Linked DNA regions of Arabidopsis thaliana. The protein of the gene in region 1 binds, or shares a complex with, the protein of each later gene. Each region holds a gene or a part of one and is shown on either strand. Other genes may lie near its edges.

Region 1 (3,753 bases):
GCATCAGATGGAACGGTAAAGTATACGGCCAATTATACATATACAGAAGTTGAGAACCCAAACTATTTAATATTCGTCACCAGCTCACCAATAAAAGTTCAAGACCAATAGGCCCAAGCAGTAACATCGTATCGCATCTGAAGATTACAGTGGCAAAAATCTGATTATCGGATAACAGAGATGTCAGCAAACCCCATAGTTCTGGATAGCATGACCGATTTTCTAAATCTATAATCGAGAAAATATGTCACCACAAAGATAATACATACCAGGAAACTCAAAGCTGGATAAAAATTTCCCTTTAACCAATTACCATATGCCAGATTGACTGCAAAATCAAAATTTAAAAACATAAGCAGAACCTAGTAAGGCCTACGCTAGATGGGTCATGGGAAAGATTGCTAGGACATCTGAAGGACCACTACTAGTAGAGTAAGATGAATAGAAGTAATTACCTAATCCCAAAGCTAGAATATTAGGAAGAGGACGAGTGCAGTAGAAAAGAAAATGAAACTGAAGACTGGTGAAAAGTACAAAGAAAGTTTCCACTTGATTTCCAAACTTTTTTTTTATCTGACAAACCAGTAGATTTTGGTCAGTGGCAGTATATAGGAGAAAAACAGCCAACAAGATGCATGTAAGAGATCCCAATTCCAAGGACATGGGAAGGGACAAAGAATCAGATAGGGGAGTCAGAAGTGTGGTATGGAAAGAAGCACTAAAGGAACTTCATACCTGAATCCGGAAAAATCTTAGTGTGGACAATATGATGCAGCCCAACACCAAACGAGCTGCAAGACAAAATGATAAAACTATGATGTGAATTGGTTTTGTCTGTGTTTAGGGGAAAATAGTTAGCGATTCATTAAGGAATTATATAGGGAGGGAGAAACAGAAGAGAAACCTGCAACAAGGCTATAAACCTTGGGGAAGCCAAGGCAGCTGATAATTGATACAACAGGTGATGCAAAAACAGAGACTATGAAGGCTCCTGCAAGAACAAATCAGAGTGGAATAAAAAAAAAACCATCCACTAATGTATAATGATAAAAAAAAAACCATCAACAGGTGATGCAAAAACAGAGAGCGAAATTCAACAGCCCTCCTTACCAATAAAAGTTCGAGGGACAACACCGGGGAACTCCAAATGATCATACTGATAGGAAAAAAATAAAAAGACAGAAGTCGGTAAAAATTGACATCACTCTAGAGATAAAAAAAAAAAGAGTAAAGCTTCAGAGAAGAAGTAAAAAGAGAGGTCACTCACAGAGTCCAAATGATGGCGATGGTAAAGAATGTCGTGCATTGACTTGAGACGAGTGAAACGGTTTCAGTAAAACGGAGAAAGAGTGTGACTCTAAATACTTTGAAAACCTACCTGAACGTTGAAGCTCTCTTCCACCTTAGTATATGGTGCCATGACCACATAGATTGCAGCTACAGATCCCAGAATCAAATCATATCCTGCTCCCACCAATCGAAAGTTTCAGTTATATAAAAAAAGAAAAAGAGATCATCTGGCCGCCTAAGAAGACGAAACGAAGAAATTACCATAGGATTGAAGAAACTTGGCCATTTTCGAATCCGTCGGCATCGTCTCTGTATCGGGGAATCGGAAATCAGGCAGCCCGGATACACACACAATTTCGATGGAAACAGAAAAACTAAAACTGGGCCTTAACTTTTCGGGTTACAAATGGGTTCTGGCCCAATATGTAAGCCCATTACCTTTTTTCTTTTGCGGGGACGGACTTAAAGAAGGGCAAAGGACACGGAGAGGTAATCTCGATCTCGAGAAAGAAAGAAAAAAAGAGAAGGCATGGCCGCGGAAGAAGCGACGGAGTTCTACCTGAGATACTATGTCGGTCACAAAGGGAAATTTGGACACGAGTTCCTGGAGTTCGAGTTTAGAGAGGACGGTAAGCTCCGTTACGCCAATAACTCTAACTACAAGAACGATACTATTATCCGCAAGGAGGTATTTCTCACCCCCGCCGTGCTCAAGGAATGCAAGCGTATCGTCTCCGAGAGCGAGGTCCTTTTTCTCTCTCTCTTCCGATTTGCTTCTCTCTTGTTAATTGTCCGCGTTTTGGTCAATCGACGCTATAATAGCCAATTAGGGTTTTAGTGATTTTGCTTCGATTTTTGTCGATCTAGGGCATCTTTCCTGACTAGTGTTGTAGGTTTAGAACCCTCTTCGTTGTTAATGCTATTATCTAGGAATAATGGATGATTTTGTACAACCTGACATGTGATTATTTGTCTGCGGGTAGATTCTGAAAGAAGACGATAACAATTGGCCGGAACCTGACCGTGTTGGAAAGCAAGAGCTCGAGATCGTCTTGGGTAATGAGCATATCTCATTCGCTACATCTAAGATTGGATCTCTTGTTGATTGCCAGAGCAGTAATGATCCTGAAGGACTTCGCATCTTCTACTATCTTGTTCAGGTCTCCTCTCTTTTTCTTCCACCCCTTGCCTTACCATCTTTTCTTTTACCTAATCCCTTAACTCTATTGGACTCGATTATATATTTAGGACTCTGCCTTTTAACGTATTCACTGTCTCAAACTTTAACATTTAGGGTTTGGCTGTTAACACTCATCCCTTACATGGTTCTGTAGTTTTTTTTTTTTTAGTTTCTGTATTTATTTGTGCTCTAACATATTCCTTTTGAAACTTTCATGGTTGCAGGACTTGAAATGTCTTGTTTTTTCGCTCATCTCTCTGCACTTCAAAATCAAGCCTATCTAGAGAAGAAAATCAGTTTGTGACATGTCAAGACGCGATGAATTTGTTGGGAACATGAGGACTTTGTGACTGAAGTTTGGTTGTTTTTATGTCTCTGGTTCTCTGTTTTTTTTTTTTGTTGGATTTGGGTGAAAGTGGGTATGTAAGATGTTCTACCTCAACTTTTGGTCCTTTTTTGTGTCAACATCCCATGTGAAGAACCTTTCATGAACCACAACCTATCTTCTAAAAACCATATACTTGCTGTTTTCTTATCACAAATCATTCACTCTCCCTAATGTACATCTACATATGATGCATGTTTCTTTTCCCTCAAGCCAATTTAAACTAAGGAATGTGATCTATCTAAAATACAAAGTATCAAAAACTAGCTGGATTAGTCGATAATTAGGATTGTTTCCATTCTAAAAAAACGCCCTCGGACCATTCAAACTGCTCCTCCAAAACCCGTAAATCTGGTTTTGCATTGAAGATATCAAGAGTAGCTTTTTATGAATCGGGAAGAACAATGGAGGATTCATTTGTCAGTGTCAGGCGGATTACTCACAGCCTAGACAGAGGACGCACCTGCCATTCATCCTCAGGTTAAGCACGCACTAGTCTCCTTTACCTTGTTGTAGTGTGTTGCAGAGAGTCACATGCATATTTCATCTTGTGGCAGGATCAGGTGCATGGTTAGGGCGGGGACTGGCTTGTGTTTGTGCACAGAAAAGGGATCACCACTCTCGTTATTCCTTTGATCTCACCCCTGCTCAGGCACCAACTAGCATCAGCTAGTTAGTTAGTTACCTTTTAAGATGGTCGGGGAAACATTAGTAGCTGGTTAGTTAGTTAGTTACAGCAGCTTTGGGTTAAGAGAGATAAACGCGAAGCCATATATATTGACAATTGGATGGTGTATAATTTATTGTTAGAAAACGAGTCCGCATTTGATATTCGATATTGCATTGCGTTCAAGGTGATGGATGATAAGTGGCTCACAATGCGGGATTCCTACATGGA
Region 2 (3,753 bases), about 19 Mb from region 1:
TAAAACAGATCTCATGGTGTTTAAACGCAACAATCCCATGCAAATGCATAAAGAGATAAACCAATGCAAAAGCAGCCAAACCCTACAAAAACCCCAGAAAAAAATTTGTTCAACACTCAGCGTCTTGCATCAGTACCTTACAGATAAGAGAGGGAATCCCTAATACAGAGAGATATGGGGAGAACTCTCCACCAAATCATACAATCAGTAACGTCTTCTCGGACTTCTTGAACGTTGCGACCTCCCATACCTGTAAAACCCCAATGATCAATGGATGATGATTTAAAGAAAGGTATAACTACTTGACAAGTCACAAGTGATTTCGATTCATTAGCATAAAGACAGTAAAGTTTGGTAGGTGCTTAGTACAATATACTACCTTGTCAACTGTTAAAACTTCTAAGTCTATATCTTAATTGATACTTTTTGACACTCTTGACTTCATATCGGCACAAGATCAGACAAGTCGTAGCGGAACAGAAAAGAGATTAGGATACAAACCTCGAGTTCTTTCTCCTGTAAGATTCACCACCACTGGGACCGCTGCTGAAGGCCCAGTCAACGCTAACATTCTGTGTTAGAAGCTCAGCACCATTCATTGCTGAAATAGCGCTCTGTGCTTCTTCCTTCTTCTCATATTCTATCAAAGCATATCCCTTATCAAAAAAAACAAAAGCAAAGTGTTACTTCCACTTCCATGAGAACTCAAGCAAACTAAAGAAAAATAATATTTGATTCCTAAACTCGCATCTAGAAGACAGCTTATCTTATTCGACCCGTCATTTCTGACACTTTGAAGTAACTTAAACGAAGTGTCCTTAGGGAACAGCATTGCACTTTACAGAATATTACATCTCCCTCTTAAAAGCAATGTAACATTGCAAAGATAAATTTATCATTTTTGGCTCTCAATTTCAGATATTCAGTATTACATTGATTAACACAAAGCATGTCAAAGAGTAAAGTCAACATCTACGACAAAACAGTATTGCATTCATCTCTAAATTACATCATGACAACAATCCAACAAATCAAGCTTCACTATAACAAACCAAAAGGCAAAATGATATCAACATAACTAAGCAAAAAAATTAGCTTCACAATAACTAACCAAAAGGCATAATGACATCAAGAGCCACTAAGAAACAAAGGCAAAACTCCATACCTTGACATAACCACTACGGCGATCGAGATTGAGATTTAGATTCTTAATCTCCCCAAAATCACCAAAAGCATTGGTTATATCCTCCTCCTGTGTCTCCTCATGAACTCCAGAGACCAAGATAATCCATCCTTCAACGGCTACACATAAACACACACAACAAACAAATTCATCCAAAACAGTCCCAATTCTTCATTACCCTCAAAGAAACTATGTTCTATCTTCACAGACTCTAGAACCATTACATTTTTTATAATGGTTACAAACTAAATCTAAACCAATCTAATTTTTTTCAAAAAACTTCTAGGTCAAATTGAATCCCAAACACAAGGGGTTATGAGAAACCCTAGAACAAATTACTACCACAAATAAATCAACAACGCGAAGAATCAGTATGCCAACACTAAAACCTAACTAAAAACAGCGAAAGAGGAAGAGATTTAGTGAAATTACATCTCTGCGGACCAGGACGGCCATCTGAACCAAGTGATTCGAAATCGCGTGAGGAAAGACGACGCTGACGATCGGAATCTTTCTCCTCGCGAAACCCACGGCCTTTGGTCTTCTTTGCTGATTCGCCATTAGCTCCGGCAATAGCCGACTTAAGCCTCGGATGTCCCGCGCGTGGAGAAACATCAGCTCCGTCAATAGCTGTACCTTCTTCGTCCATAAGGTCATCCTCCTCTGGCTCGAAATCGACTGCTTCTGATTCTATGTTCGCCATGACTTCCGCCGCCGTAAGATTTCCGATAGATCTCTTCCCGTTTCGCCGACTGATTTTTTGTTTCCTTTGTTTTTGGGGACGGAGCTCTTTCTTCTATCAAGATATTTCTCTGCCAGTGTTGTTTATAGGAATATATTGGACCTTAAGTGGGCTTATTTTGGGCTTTTACGCTTGTATTTCTTTCTCACGCTAGTTTTTCCTTTTCCCTTTTAAACAGGCTTTGATTAAACTCCTCTCGTCAATGTTAGTGGGCTTATTTTGGGCTCTTACTTTTTTTATTTATTCTTTCACGCTTCAGAGTAAGCTAAGCCTTTGATTTTTTAGGTTTCTTACAAAACAGGCTTAAGCCTTTGATGAAAACTTCTCTTGTTAATGTTACATTATCTGAATTTCATATGTCGAGAGTGAATCATGGCATACCTTTTTAAGCATTCATGATGTCAAATTATTGTATCACTTCATAATTAGGATACTATCAATCATATTGTGGTATTTAACACTTTACAGTCGATACTGGTCCATCTCTTTGATGGTGATCATCATTGTTTTATCCGTTTGCATACAATCATTATAGTCGAATATTGCTTTCTAATTCCCACTCTAATCTCAAATAAATCTCGTCCAACATGTTCGACCAAATTCTAAGAAAGAAAACATAGAGAGATGCAAAGCATTTAAAGAAAACAAATCTTAGTTCGTCGCCAATAATTACTTACGTCATTTAGAGGAGGGGAGAGCATTAATTTGGAAAACATTTATTGTCTGGTTCTGTTGACTAAAGTAGTACAAAACTCTGGTCAATTTACGACAACTATTTAACAACACACGTGTCCTTAAAGAAGCTATATCGACCGTTGATATAATATCTAAAGATAATCTTAACGGGTAGGATTTGGAAATGAAGTAACCGAAGACCGTACACTCGTTACAGTGTTGAGGAAAAATTAATGTCATGCGCGAGTTTTGGTGTGACGGGGAAAAGAACAGCTGCCTGACAAAATTTTGTTTTATGGGATGGGATAGGGTAATTGTTGTCGATGAGCCCTATACTAAAAATAGTAGACTTCACAGTTCAAGTGACCGTTTGTCTTTAGCTGGCCCGGTCATGAGAGTTAAGGGCAAAAAATATTTTACGGGCAGGTCCTAATATTTATAGAGTATACTTTTTCTTTACGGGCAGGTCCTAAGATTTATATAATCTATACATCACAATGCTAGTTTTCACTTAGCTATGTTCAGGGATAAGCCTGGCCCTTATTCATTTGGTTTTGTTTTTTGATAGAGTTTTTGACCTCATTTTTCCCCTTTTACTTGCAGGTTGTAACGCCAAAGAGTTTGGGAGAAAAAAAAAATTAAATCCACCAAACAGTTGTAATTATCAATTTTGTTGGAACCAAGTGATTCCCATTACTATAGGTGAAGAAACTAAAATCTTTATTAGTATAGAGTATAGAAAGTGGCAGACCAAGAATTTCTTTTTTTTTTTGGGGTCAAATAATTTAGTTAACTAAAAAATTACTTTATATAAATTATTTTAACTAAATAATTTAATTATCTCCAATAATCTTTTACTGCAAATATAAATTGTTCTTCTAACAAATCAATCTAATAAACAAAAAAACAAAAACGAAAACAATGTATTGAAAAAGCTACTTTATCCATGAAAAAGGGAATACATAGTGTTGATACCTACTAAAATCTGTTACTACAATCTTTTTAAAATCTGTTAATGCTCTTAATTTGCCAAAATAATCAGGTCAATATATATGATTTCTTTCCATTCTAATCTCGCTCTTTACGAAACTTGAATATCCCTAAAAATCGATAACAGTTTCAAAGAACAATAAAAACAAAAAAGGTTCGATTT

The links. Proteins that work in one complex are often made in the same cells at the same time.
Region 2: MAGO (region 1) and Y14 share a complex: the UniProt entries of both Arabidopsis thaliana proteins name them as parts of the mRNA splicing-dependent exon junction complex.

What each region holds. Positions count from the first base shown.
Region 1 is NC_003070.9:402,468-406,220, reverse strand, and holds MAGO (mago nashi family protein), read left to right. Parts: upstream 1-1,764; 5' UTR 1,765-1,819; coding exon 1,820-2,035; intron 2,036-2,273; coding exon 2,274-2,450; intron 2,451-2,694; coding exon 2,695-2,754; 3' UTR 2,755-3,121; downstream 3,122-3,753. Other genes in the region: ALG12 (homolog of asparagine-linked glycosylation 12), read right to left, coding at 89-160, 270-328, 456-573, 736-791, 905-991, 1,111-1,156, 1,268-1,309, 1,379-1,464 and 1 more. UniProt on the Arabidopsis thaliana protein: Core component of the splicing-dependent multiprotein exon junction complex (EJC) deposited at splice junctions on mRNAs.
Region 2 is NC_003070.9:19,102,868-19,106,620, forward strand, and holds the start of Y14 (RNA-binding (RRM/RBD/RNP motifs) family protein), read right to left. Parts: upstream 2,067-3,753; 5' UTR 1,887-2,066; coding exon 1,616-1,886; intron 1,303-1,615; coding exon 1,166-1,302; intron 657-1,165; coding exon 502-656; intron 251-501; coding exon 205-250; 3' UTR 1-204. UniProt on the Arabidopsis thaliana protein: Core component of the splicing-dependent multiprotein exon junction complex (EJC) deposited at splice junctions on mRNAs.